Linked DNA regions of Caenorhabditis elegans. The protein of the gene in region 1 interacts with the protein of each later gene in a pairwise test. Each region holds a gene or a part of one and is shown on either strand. Other genes may lie near its edges.

Evidence for each region.
Region 2: the proteins of unc-1 (region 1) and unc-9 interact in a protein complementation assay, tested with the Caenorhabditis elegans proteins (one study listed by BioGRID).

The regions. Positions count from the first base shown.
Region 1 is NC_003284.9:1,056,738-1,064,072, reverse strand, and holds unc-1 (Band 7 domain-containing protein), read left to right. Parts: upstream 1-1,619; 5' UTR 1,620-1,629; coding exon 1,630-1,695; intron 1,696-3,387; coding exon 3,388-3,501; intron 3,502-4,654; coding exon 4,655-4,779; intron 4,780-4,837; coding exon 4,838-5,111; intron 5,112-5,787; coding exon 5,788-6,002; intron 6,003-6,166; coding exon 6,167-6,242; 3' UTR 6,243-6,586; downstream 6,587-7,335.
Region 2 is NC_003284.9:13,210,645-13,217,396, reverse strand, and holds unc-9 (Innexin unc-9), read right to left. Parts: upstream 5,008-6,752; 5' UTR 4,966-5,007; coding exon 4,854-4,965; intron 4,425-4,853; coding exon 4,389-4,424; intron 4,337-4,388; coding exon 4,186-4,336; intron 4,135-4,185; coding exon 4,043-4,134; intron 3,556-4,042; coding exon 3,428-3,555; intron 2,981-3,427; coding exon 2,562-2,980; intron 2,442-2,561; coding exon 2,342-2,441; intron 1,693-2,341; coding exon 1,570-1,692; 3' UTR 672-1,569; downstream 1-671. Other genes in the region: R12H7.4 (G_PROTEIN_RECEP_F2_4 domain-containing protein), read right to left, coding at 1-59, 111-260. UniProt on the Caenorhabditis elegans protein: Structural component of gap junctions. Plays a role in maintaining gap junction activity to promote locomotion.

The DNA.
Region 1 (7,335 bases):
CGAGCTTTGTCTGCAAAACGAGAAACCACAACAATTTGGTTTTCTCACGCGAGTGGAGCCTTTTTCGATTCTTCTTTCTATCATTTTTTATTTCTTCTCCCACCCCTTTCCTCTTTTTTTTTCTCTTTCCTATTCATTTTCGATTCAATAGACTCTTAGGGTCCCTTTGCTCAAGCGCAACCGCAACATTGATGATCTTTCACTCGTTTTCCGCTCTTTTTTGCCACAGCTCCCCATTTCTTTCAAGTTTCTGTGAAATAGTTACATATCCTTTCAGTTTACATCTTGATCAACATGGATCAGCAATGTTTCCTAATTAAAAAAAAAATGTTTCAGTTTGCTTATTTTTTAAACTCAAAAATATAATTCTTGATATTTTGTGTCGCTGTTCAACGATTTAACTTTGCTTAAAGTAATATCAAAAATGAGATAATCTTCATCGTCATAAATTTTTTGAAAAACCTTTGTCAGAGATTGAAAATGGGTCAGTGCCAATATCATTTTGGTCAGTGCCTGTATCATTTTTGTCATTGCCATTATCATTTGTTCAGCGCATTTATCATCTTGGTCAGTGAAAATTACCTAATTAAATTTATTGTTTTCCAAAATAGTAATGCATTCAAATTGAAAATAAAGTGGTGATATTTTCTTTAGTATTTTCAATTTCAAGAAGTATGTATGCACATGGAGACCCACCTGCCAAATAACGAGAAGTTGCTTGCAAATTTGATTTTTTTTTGGATTTTTAGCTAGGAATTCATATGATTATGATTGCTGTAATTTTTTCTTTGCGTTTTCTGTTGGTGATATTGTTTTTCAGTGTTTCCAAGTTCCATACTCCTTTTTTCATATAAAAATGTTTCAAAAACATAACCTAACAATTTAGACTCTAGTTTTTCAATGCAGATTTGATTTAATTTCAGTACTTTCAAACGAACATTATCGTGATTTATGTTTTTCGTTTCAAAATTTTCGTTCTTATTTCATTCGCCGCCAAAATCAGTAAAAGTATCTTTAGTCGCTTAAAAAAGTAAAAGTAAAAACAGATTCATCCACTTTAGCCGTCAGCTTGAAAGAAAAAAAAATGCTATCCTCTTTCCTTCGTCAACTCTTCGTCCGTATTTTCTTCGCCTCTATTTTCTATTCTGCCTCTCTCAGCTTTTTCGCTCCGAAGCTCCCTCGCCAAAGTGGGTGGAGCATAGGAACTGCAGAGGGGTCCCCCTTCTTTCTCCCCTATTGAATTACTCTGAGCTGCGAAGCGTAGCTCATGGTTGCCCAAAGTCAATTCTTTCTCTCTAGTCAAATGGAAGTTTTTTTTCTTTTTTTTTCTTTCATCTTGTTCGTCTTTTGAAAAATGTATAACTGAAACATAATATAAAAATTAATTAAAATTCGAAAAAACGTCCTTCCCAATCATTTTTCAGGCACTGACAATATTTGAATTTGCACTGACAATATTTGAAGTTGCACTGACAATATTTGAATTTGCACTGACAATATTTGAATTTGCACTGACAAAATTAGTTTTTGCACTGACCCATCAAGAAACAGTTTATTTCTTATATTTTCCGTTCTTTTTTCTAAACTATTTTTTTTTAATTTTAACCGTCCTAAAAGTTTTCCAGGTAAATGTCAAACAAGGAAAGAACAGAGCCTCAGTGGGTAACGCCGTCGTCAAATCAGGTATCACAGCAAGTGCGTGTTTCACTCACATTTTTCAAACTCCCCCCTCACACGTCTAGTCACAAAACCCCTCCCTATCTGATCTGAGCATAATCCAAAAAAAATACTGTTGGCATTAACCATCACTCACATCTATTCTATCCACGCTTTTTGAGCATGCTTCTGCTGTTGAGCAGAGTAACCGTTCTGTAACTCACAATGTTGTCGCTTTGTTATTGTCTTCTTTCACACGTGAATATTAACGATTTGGGAATTGGAAAAAAAGGAAAAGGAAGAGAAAGGACTCGCGACACCAACAACAAAGAATTATTCTGAATAAGGGCTGTGACGAGCAGGAAGTAGTGTAATTTTTAATTGGACGGTTTTAAGAAAAGTGTTATTTTATTCATAAGTTCTTTTTAGTTTGTTCGATAGTTGAATTTCATGAATTTTGCACTTTATAGATAATAGTGCATATCAGGGCTGTTTTTTGTTTAAAAAACAAGTACTCGTGTATTAAAGATGGAATACAGTCAGTGGGAAATTGCTTTAAATACACTTAAAATGGCCATTATAATATTAAAAAACTTCAGACATTTCTTTAGATTTAAAAATTTTTAAAATCAACTTTTTAGTAAATTTCCAGAAGAAAAGGACTTTTTGTGAAATTGAAGAGTTTCTGCGAGTTAAAACAAAATAATTGAACTGTAATTAGAATACACAACTTACATTAAACAAAAATCATTTTTCGGGCGATTTTCAAAATTATGATCGGTGTTTGAGTTTTTACCATTTTTTGACTGCACATAAAAAACCAAACAAATTTCTTCCAATTTTATCATTTACTGTTTAAAAAAATTTTCCCACTGACTAAACTCCACCATTAAACATGATGTGATTGTTTTTCTTTAAACTATGAAATCGATGTTTCTAAAACGTTACAGTACACAAATACCAAAAAGTTGTGCCACTATAGTTTTTTAACTGAAATTTTTTTTAACTTTGAGTTTTATGTTTTCAATACACTTCAGTATTTTCCAGAAAAAAACTTACTCAAGCTTAATTTGTCGATTTTAAAATTTTCCAAAAAAATGTAAAACGATTCTCATTAAGTCGACCAAATCAAAAATGGAATTGGATTAACAGATTGAAAAAGTATATTTCCTTATTAAAAGCTTAGTTATTTTTTGTTAATTTTTGAATTAATGATACAAAATTTGGCTTTTTTAAGAAATATTTTCACATTCCCAAAATAAAAATTTTAAATTGAGAAACTTCAATTTTCAAATTTTCATATTTATTAGTTGTTTTTTTTTCTGTTATGGGTGGGATTCTAATTTTGCTTCTCATTCATTTTCCTTGGCGTGCAATTTTTATTTAATTAGCCATATGTACTTTTATACACGCAACAACAAGCACTTTATCAAAGGGCACGTCAAAAGTTCTCGCAAATTCTCAATTTACTTCGCTTTACGCTCAGAATAATTATTTTTCCCTACGGAGAAAAAGAGTCGCCCTGGGAAAGAAAGGGTAAGTGGGGGAGGGGGGTACATTTTAAATGTGCTCTTTTCTCTCTATCTCAGGCCAAGTTGATTTATGTCTCGAGTCCCTTTTCCTTTTCTTGAATACCCGAAGATTCCAATACTTTTTGCATTCCATCAAAATTTGGAGTAAAATATGGAATCGATATGGAAAAATCTTGAATATTGATAATTAACTTTGCAGGATGTGCCACCTGATTACGAGACGATTGGCACAATCTTCGGTTATGCGTTACAAGCTCTTTCATGGATACTTATTATTGTCACGTTTCCATTTTCCATGTGTGTATGCTTAAAGGTTTGTTTTTTCTTCCAATTATCTAATGAAAAAGTTTTTAATTTTTCGGGGAAAAATTTAAAAGAAGTTGAGTGTTTTTAAAGGTGGATTTGGTGGGGGAAACGAAACCCATAAACGCCGTTATTTAAAAAATGGTCAATTTAAAAATAGTCAGCTTTTTAATTTTTTCCCCCAAAATGGTATTGATTTCATTTAACAATTTGACATCAACATTAATAAAACATTAAGATCACGTAAAATTGTGCTAAAAACGAAAATTTTCACGATTTTTCTAAACTTCACATACTCGAAAAAAAAACTATGATAATTAATTGGCAAAACAACTTTGTATAAAAAGTTAGTTGAAAATCAAACACAACTTTAAAAACGTTTCTTGTTTACTAAATTCAATCAAAAATAATTTTCTGTGTAAAAAACGTTTGTTTGAAGTTTCAAAGCGTAGATTGTAACTTTTTCGATTTTTACTGATTTAACAATATTCAATTTGATGGAAGAGTATGATGATCTGATTATTTTGTTTTCTTAAAAATTAAGATTAACAAATATAATTGTTTAAAAATTTTTCTGTCTCACAGTTTTCAATTTTGTTCAATTTTCCCAACAAAAAAAAATCAAATGGCTAATTAAACAGCGCCCACTTTTTTGGGTTCTTAGATTTTTGGGTTTTTGGTTGTTATTTTCTGATCTAATGTAACGTAATGTAATAATGTAATGTAATATAATATAACGAAATAACTGAAGAAAAAAAATAGAGCCATTAACTAAATACTCCAAAAATGTGGGCATTGCCTCGTTCAGAGCAAAATACCAATTAACAATAAAACTGACCAATATTCTAATTGCCCTGACCAAAACTTTAATTGCACTGACCACAAATCTAACTGGATTAACTGAAAGTTTGAATGCACTGGTCAAAAATATTTTTTGCGCAATGCAATATTCAAACTGCACTGATTTTCTGACCTGGGCTCACTTTTAAGTCAAACAGCGACATTAATCAATTTTCTTTAAGAAGTAGAAAACTTGGGGTTCAAAGTTATTTATTGATTGTTTTTATTCAAAAATCTATCAAATTTTCAAAACACAATCGATACCTTTTTTTGGAATATATTAACTCCAAAAGTTCCTAAAATGATACATTAATGATTTCCAGGTTATCAAAGAATACGAGCGAGTTGTAATCTTCCGTATCGGTCGTTTGGTGTTTGGAGGAGCTCGTGGTCCTGGAATGATCTTCATCATTCCCTGTATTGATACTTATCGAAAAATTGATCTTCGGTATGATTTGACTTAATGTCTCGAAGAAACGTTTATGATTATTATTATTCTCATTTAGTGTTGTCTCGTACGCAGTTCCACCGCAGGAAATCCTGTCAAAAGACTCTGTGACTGTATCCGTCGACGCCGTTGTCTACTTCCGTACCTCCGACCCGATTGCTTCCGTCAACAATGTTGACGATGCCATTTACTCCACCAAACTGCTAGCGCAAACTACGCTGAGAAACGCTTTGGGTATGAAAACTTTGACTGAAATGCTCACAGAACGTGAAGCCATTGCTCAACTTTGCGAGACCATTCTTGATGAAGGAACTGAACATTGGGGAGTTAAGGTGAGATTTTTTTTCCCAAAAGTATAATAAACTGATCACTCAATGCTCATATTTGGGGCTCCTTCGCCAAATAATACTAAAACTGAGAAGCTCAATAAAAACAATTTCGTAACCCAAACAAACACACCGATTAGCCTCCAGAGAGTTAGTAGTTATTTTGGGGATAAACAAGTATGTTTTGTTGGAGAAATACCCAGAAATCTCGACGAACGGGTAAATATGATGGGCAGTAGTTTTAAGGGGTGGAAGTTTGACAAAAAAAAAAGTTTTTGATAAAGTTTCTGGTTTCTAAAATAATTACAAGAATGAAATGTTTTGCTTTAAGTTTTAATTGCACTGACCAAAACTTCAATTCTACTGTCTAAAGTTCTATTTGCACTGACCAACACTCTTATTGCACTGACCATTATTCTAATTACACTGACCACAACTTCAATTGCACTGACAAAATTTTGAATGCACTGTTAAATTGAAAAATTTGCGTAAAACAATATTTTAACTGAACGGACTTTCTGCGATTTGCCAAACTAATTCACACTCAAAAACTTCTTCTTTCTTGAGAAAACATTTATTTTTTGTCGCAAAAAAATATAGAAAATCTATCATGTTACTTTTTTTTTCAAATCTAGTCAATTTCATGTCTGACAATTCAAAGCCATCAATCATTCCATTACAGGTAGAACGTGTGGAAGTGAAGGACATCCGTCTCCCCCAACAACTCACACGTGCCATGGCCGCCGAAGCCGAGGCCGCGCGTGAAGCTCGAGCCAAAGTTGTCGCCGCCGAGGGAGAGCAGAAGGCGTCACGGGCTCTCAAAGAAGCGGCCGATGTCATTCAAGCGAACCCAGTTGCTCTTCAGCTTCGTCACTTGCAAGCACTCAACAGCATTGCGTAAGTTGCCACACTTCTCGAATAAATTTAATTTCGGTGAGAAGAGAGATGCGTGCTCTTTTGGATTGAATTTCGAATTAGTCACCAACTTTGAATTGTACCAATTTTTGAAACTATGGAAAATCGTAGAGGAACCGAGCTATCGCTAATCCAATTTTTTTCAGAGCTGAGCACAATTCTACAATTGTTTTCCCCGTACCTGTGGAAATGTTTGGAGCATTTATGAAAAAAGACCAATAATCATATTTTCCTTTTTTTCTCTATAAATGCTGCACCTTTTGAAATTTGGATCCCAGATAGTGCATTATTAATAGATCAATCATTTGTATTAATTCAAAGTCTATATACATACAATTATCTTTCAAATAGCCTTTATCCTACCAATACTTTCCTAAACGTTCTCGATTTGCACAAAAAAAAACCAGCCAAACAAAACACAAAACTCTCTAATTTCCCCCAAATTCCGATTTGCAACTGTCATTCAACCCGATCATGTATTTTCTGAACTTTTTTTCAAAATTTACGAAACTCTAGTTCTTCTTATTTTTCATTTATATATTCATGAATAAATCAGTTATTTATTATGTGAAAGTATCAGAAAAAAATTAAATTTTCTGTGAAATGTTCAGGAAAATATATCATGGAATTTTTGAATACCACAAATGAGCGGTATCACAAAACTAACAAAAAAAAATAAATATAAAAATAAAAAAACCGTTTTTTTTTCTAGAACTGTATACTTCAAAGGTTTTTGAGTTTTTGAAGTGTTTTTCTGGCAACAATCTAAAAACTTTTTCATCCTTGGTTAAGAAACTTAAAGTATTAGTGCAAAGTATAGAAAATTACAAAAACATTTTCCGGAATGGCATTAAAATTTTGGCAGGAATTCAAACTTCTTTAAAAAATTGTGGTCATTAATTCAAAAATTTCAAAAAAAAAGTATGGGTAAGAATTCAAATTTTTCCGAGAAGTTAGGACAGGAATTTTTTTCTAAAAGTGATTTTTATTAATTTGAGATTGCCTGAAAAATATTGATCTTGACATTTATAACATTGGAAAATTGGGATTTCTAATTATCAAAAGCTACTTATAAGCAATATGCTGCTGTCCGAGAACTTCATGCAAAAGTTCGCGAACCTGTCGGCTGCGCATTTGAATTTGCTGTAAACTTTTTATAAATAAAAATCCCAATTTTATATATCTGAATATCTAAAAATTTGATTTTTTACCAACATTTTTCATTTTATTCAATATCCGATAATCAAAATATTATTACGTATTCAATGAGGATCGCAGGAAAAGGCAAATCTGTGATATACGGTGTACATATCAG
Region 2 (6,752 bases), about 12 Mb from region 1:
ACCAATATAGTTATTAAGCACCATACTATTATCCAGCCACCACAAAAATACATAAGGTACTGAAATTAAAAAAAAAGAAATAAATGGAAGTATTCAAACACATTTCAAACCTTCACTATATCGCTCTGGTTATCTGATAAAACTGTTTCATAACATCTTTGTAAAAGGTTATCAGTGATATTAGTTGGTTCGGCAGTTGTTGTAGTGGTTGTTGTAGAGTTTGTGTCAGTAGAATTAGTGGAACTATTATTATTTGACATATTCGACCACACACCGAGCACAAAACAAGAAGAAATGAGTTGCGTAGGATGGTTGGTGTTTGCAAACTGTTTCCCCGGAAACTGGGATCGAATATTCCAATAGCTCTATTGTGACATCTTGTGATGTTTTTTTGAATAGCCTGGTTTTTGGATCTTCTAGTCTTTGCAGAGCAAGTGAGGTTTGTTTCGAAAATGACAGTGAAAAAAGTAAAGAATTCTAATAGATTTAAACATTCTTCAAAAACTTAATTAATTTACAACCTTCAAAATGTCTGTAAATTTTGTGACGGTTTTTATATAGTTTTTCAAAAAAATATATTTTGCCATTTTTCTTTTCTATTTAATTGTTTTTATTTGCAAAGCAAGTATGCTATTTTCCTCTACTATAAAATTACTGAGAAGTAGAATGAAAAATTGTTATTTTATTCATTTTCAAATAATATTAAATAATCCAAATCCACAATAAAATATGGCAAAGTTTGTGGGTTCCGTTTTCAAAACTTTGGTGAAAACTGAACATTGGCAGGTGGATGATGAAGACAAACTGGAAGAAATATGAATTACAGGGCGAGAAAGTTAATTTTTGTATCAAGTGAGTTTGGGGGGAAGGACAAAAATTATCTATATTACAAACGTGAATCCAGGTAATTTGAAAAGACATGATGCCATTTGAAAGAAACCACAGAAGGAAGGAGAAGTGGGAGGATGGGGGGAAAGGGAATAAAATTGGAGAAAAAAATTACAAAAGACTTTTGGGAGTTAATTTTAGAGGAAATTTAGGTATAATAATTTGAAAGTTATGAACATTCATAAAGACAACCGCGTCATTAAAGTTTTGATAAATTGATAATAGAAAATTTGGAAATTGGTAAATAGAATTTACAAAAAAAAAATTAGAAAACAATTGAATTAAATGTGAAATTGACAAAAAGCTCGAGGTGAAAATGACAATGGATCGATAAAGTTTTGAGCAACTTTTTGAAGTATTCAATTGAGAAATTTAAAAATTGATTCAATACAAAAGTTTAAAAGTTTTGGCACTCTTCTAAAACCCTCCAAAATTGTTTAGTTTTGGTTTTCAAGAGAATTATGATGAGGAGGAAAAGATAAGTGAATAGTTTCCATTGATCTGGATGTTTAAATGCAGTTGATGATTCGATATTTTCTAGCAACAGAAAATTGAGAATATCAGCTAAAGACGACTACACCCATTGACGACAATTCTATGATTTTCGAAAGTGAGATTTCATGATCAAAATTTGAGAACTGGTGTTAGAAGAAATTGAAAAAGCTACGAAGTTGGGGTGTGTCACACGTCGTGCATTTTTCCTTCTTTATTGTCACAGTAGTTGTTCCATAACGTTTTCGCAAGCTCGTAACAGGGTAGTTCTCCGGCGTGAGTTGCAACCATACGAAGTAGGAAAACACCATCCTGAAATGGGGTTTAATTTCGGTCAGTGTAAAAGTTATTTCTTTTTTTTTCACAATAGTGCAAATCTAATAAAATTAATTGGTGTTCAAGATACGTATAATTTGGTTGACATTATTGATAGTTATATCAAAAACTTATGAACCGGGAAAGTTCTAACTACTGTATATTATTTGTTTTACTAACTCACGGTGGTTTTAAATACGTCTTTAACAGGATTGCAGTTAAAATTTCTCTTGGAAATTTTAATTGCAGTTTTGTTTTTTTAAGAGTAAAACAACAACTAGCTCAAAAGTTAGCACTGCAGCTTTCATTAATTTTGCCCAGTCGTATTTCATTTAAAACCTATTGTATGACTTCGCGATAGAAGAAATACGGTATGTTTCTTTTCTATATTTCTGTAGTTTCACAGTCATTGAAATTTTTTTCAAAAAATCAATGAAAGCTGTCAATTCGTGAAGAAGGGTGCATATCTAATATGCGAAGTCTGTCATATTAAAAAATCTGCTTAGAAATCTCTAAAATTTCATTTGTTCTATCTTACTCTAAATTCCATGAGCTTTTTCCAATATTTAAAATTTTTGAACATGAAGTTCTTTTGTTTTTCGCCGCACTTCATTTTTTGTTTCGGTTTTTCCAAAGGTTAAATTACCTGTCTTAAAAAGTGAAATACAAAACGTCGTAGTGATTGCGAATCCACCATTTTATATCCCTCGATTCCAGTCAGATACTTTCCAACAAAGTTGAGCTGCCTGCAGTGAAAACATTACGTGAATGAGTCTTTCGTTCACTTTTTGAAAAGCTAATTGAGACAAATGGGTGCACATTTGTTTTTCGTCATGTTTAAAATGTTTTTAACATGATCAACATACCTGCTTGGCACCACTGAAATGTAGATCCAGTAGAAAAGCGAGCACAAAGTAGCACCGGCAAGAAGGAAGTACCAGAACCACAAGAACAGAAAGATCTTCTCGTTGAACATGTTAATCATAAGTACACATTGTACTGTATGTCGGTGCACGTTTCCCAGTACTTTTACTTCAAAGTCACATAACGTTACACGTGGAAAATGACCAGACTCCTCCCATTCTCGTCCGTTCATCAAGTCGTTGAGAACTTGCAGTCCGTACCATTTGCTACGGTTACCGAGAAACGTGTTCAGTAGAAAGATTTGGCCGACGATGTTCACGGTGTACAGAATTTTGACAGAGATATAGAGGAACGTGACAGCAGCACCGGAAGATCGTGTGCAAATAATCAAGTTGAGCAGTTTCAGACGATTTCCGGACATCTGTAAAATTAAAAATAATAAGATTAGAAGAAAAACCGAAAAAATCTGATGATAAACAAAAATTTTCAGAAATCGTTGTTTTTTTTTCAGTTTTGAAGGAGTTCTCCGAGAGGGGTGTGGAGCATCAAAAATTCAGATCTCAAAACTTAGGTTTACGGAGCTTCAATGCTTTGAATCAGATTATCTCTAGAATAGGTGTACCCCGATCATTGATAACTGGTAACTCTATTTTTTTTTTTGCGGAATGTTTTGCGGAATGTAGCTTGAATTGGTTAAAATTGAACTGTTAGTAATGCAAATCAGAAAAGTAAAAAACGTTTACATATATTCTTATTATTATTAATATTATTGGCTGTGATTATGCTTGAAGGTACACAGCAGGGCGACTCAAAGACGCTAGAATGTTTTGTGCGTATTGGGTACTCTTGTGTTTTACAGTTTTCATACCACTTGATGTTTCACGTGTAGCGCTTCTTCTACATTTGTTGCGATGGTTTGCAACGCTCTGTTCCTCGATTCCAAATCCAACAATCTGGAGTCACAAGCCATTTGAACCAGAGACTGCACATGAATTCCTGAAATTTGCCTATTTAGCTTATATATTAGAATTCCTGAATTTTATTTTTTTTTGCTCCCTAAAAAATTTTTAGTCCTAAACAACAACAAGCAAGAAGCTTTCAAAAAAAAAGAAAATTTATGTATACTCCCTCGAGGTGAGAGAAGGAGAGGAAAGCTTCGAAGCGCTTGAGGCGAAAAGTATCGACGAAGGCCCGCGCATTCATTCCGCGATATTTTTGTTGTTCTTCTTCTTCACGCCGTTCTTGACGCTTTTTCTTCGTTTTTTTCTTGAAAACAACAATTTTGTTTTTTGCTATTTGGTAGTAGGCTGATGCTTCGGACCTCACGTCACATATTTATGTGTCTTCCTGGATATATTTTTAGGTAATGCAAATTCGTTCAAATTGCAAAATGCATCCACTACACGTTTTATTATTTTAATACTTACAATACAAAAAGTAACTGGTAAAATTGGAGACTCTATTTTGCAATCGAAGTACCTACCTGATTGCCAGCTGAGCAGTCTCCATACAATAGTCGGCACATAGAAAAGAAGAGCTTCAAGAGCTAACACAAACGGAACCCATTGATAATACCTGAAAAATTGTTCGTTTTTTAATGAGACTCTTAGATTAACAGAGCCTAACCCGATTTGTCGATTTTCACGTTCTGCATAGTTATGTGGAATGTAGTCGTGTAAAGGGAGAAAGTAGGTGTTTTGAACCCAACAATAGTTTTCCGTGTACTGCTCCATGGGCTCGGTGAACGTCGCAGGTACCCAACATTGGATTGGAAAACCTAGAAAAGGTTTGTTGACAGTGAGAATATGATAGAAAATGTTTGGTCTTACCGACATACTGTTTAGCAGAGACGAGAATCGCGAACACTGAAAATTAAGAAATTATTGGAGAAAAATTCATTTATATGGGAGAACGGGAGATAGATAATATGAACTAGAGACGTGTTTTTTTATGGCTTCAAAATTGCCATAATTAATGTTGAATTTCTTTTTCAATGTCTATTTTATCAAATGATTTTTTGATTTCAAGCTCCTTCAAAACATTTATTTCAAACTTTTTCTATTTCAATACTTCCCAACGGTTCAGAAACACATGCTTGATTGGAAACATCTTTGATCAAAAATGTAACAAAATGAAAGGGAGAGCAAGTCCTTGGTCCTTGGTTAATGGGTACTAATTCATGAAGATTTATTTTCATTTTAAACCTTTTCGGTTCTCTTTCATGTGTTTTTTTGTAAACCAGTATGCTATGTTTCATCAAAAAGTTTGATACATTTTATTTAAGAAAAGAATACCTGTGATAATGGCTGTGGTGTAATAGTAGTTAAGCTTGTCAATAATGTCATCATCGACGTGAAACTGTATTGACTTCACAGCACTCGCGAAATAATACAATAGCATACTCATCCTAAGTCATGTCGTGACGGCGCCCGTAGCGCCTTTTCCGATCTGAAAAAAAAATTTGATGTAAGGATATGACGGGAAAACAAGAGATGAAAAATACGGGCAGAAATGGAGAATGGATGATGTTCTAGTAATTTTTGTTTGAAAACATGTCTTGTTCGGACATTGGAAGGGTGCGAAAAATGTGGAAAACAGGAGCTGGGGAGCCGGAGGTGGTGGAAAATAGAAGTGAACGACGGACGACAACGTCTGTTGATGGCAGCCAGGTCGTTCTAATTATGCATTGGAAAAAAAAAGAAAAAGCGTCGGGAACAAGGAATGGCGAAGGAAGGGAGAAACTTGAAGGAGAAAAAGGGGAATGGCGTTTTGCTGTTGGAGGATTTTTTTTTCAAATTTTGAAAAATTGAATGCGACTTTTAAATATTTTTAATAATTGAAAGGCTACCGTGAGAATTTTTGATTTTTACAAGAAAATGCAAAGCAAACGAAAACAAAACAACTAAGGCAAAGTTCGGGATTCTTATGATTTTTTTTCCCATTTTTTGAAACTAAAACTTTATATTTGTGAAACTGTCAAAAAAAAATTCAGTAAAACCTATCGTATTTTTTATCAAATTTAATGTTCGATTCAAACCTACCCATATATCGTGGCCTATTGTTCTGATTTGTGGTCATCTTAAACAAATTTTTTAATGAAAAGACGATAATTTGAAGAAAATATCATTTTTAATGTTTAAAATATGAAAAAAGTTAACATAAAAGCTCCAAAAGAATATTTATGCAGCAAATCAGAGAATCCCTAGTTAATAGCAATTAAAGTATACATTTTCTACATGCGTAATACAAATTTATCTATATTCCGAATGTTCTTTCAGAATCTAAAAATTATCTTGACAGAGTCTTTCACAGGAATCTATTACTGACATCCTGAATTCTAATTAAGAAGCTATTGTATGAACCTACATTTTAAAACGAAAAAGGAATGGAGCAAGAGCAAAAGTTCAGGTGGACTCAACTTGTAGTTCACACTAGAGTTGAACTCTGCCAGGACCAAAGAAGAGTGCATGAATTTCAAATCAGGAGACGGGAATTGGCGGCTTTGTTGCCGAAATCTCAAGGTTTTACAAAACTTACGAAAAGTGCCATCAGTGTTTCTAGGTTAAAAATTGTCCTGTCGCTAGTGGGATGATGTCAGTCAATCCAAAAACCAACTAGCGCGTTTCGCGATTATATATTTTTGAAAAAAGCTGTGTTCAGATGAAAAGGTACAAAAATTCTAAGAAAATCCAATGAAATCTACTGAAAATGGCCGAAAAAAAAAACAGTTCAATTCTCGTTAAATATCTTGATAATTCAATTCCGTATTTCAACCAAACTACTTTCACAAGAACATTGGAAACAATTAAAACCATAACTCAGTACAATGGGAAATATCTATGTGAGGCACCTTCTAATAGTAAAAAAATTTACTAGCCTGCTCGAGAAAATGCATACTAGAGAGACAGATAAAGAGAGAAGGAGGTCTCCTGGCTTACTCCACGTTTTCTTATTCCTCCTCTCGCTTTTCTTTCTTTTCTTTCGTCTTCCACGAATTTTGATGGCCAATTGAAGAAAACGAGAGAGGGAGCCGGGGACGTGGAGCGAGTGGACAGAGAGCAGTGGGAAAATGAAGACATAGACAGCCCCACATATATACCCGAAAACCACACGGAGTAAGAAAAAAGAAAAAAAAAGAAGAAGCATCACATTGGCACACTATTTTTCCTTCCTTTTCTCTCATTTTCCTTCTG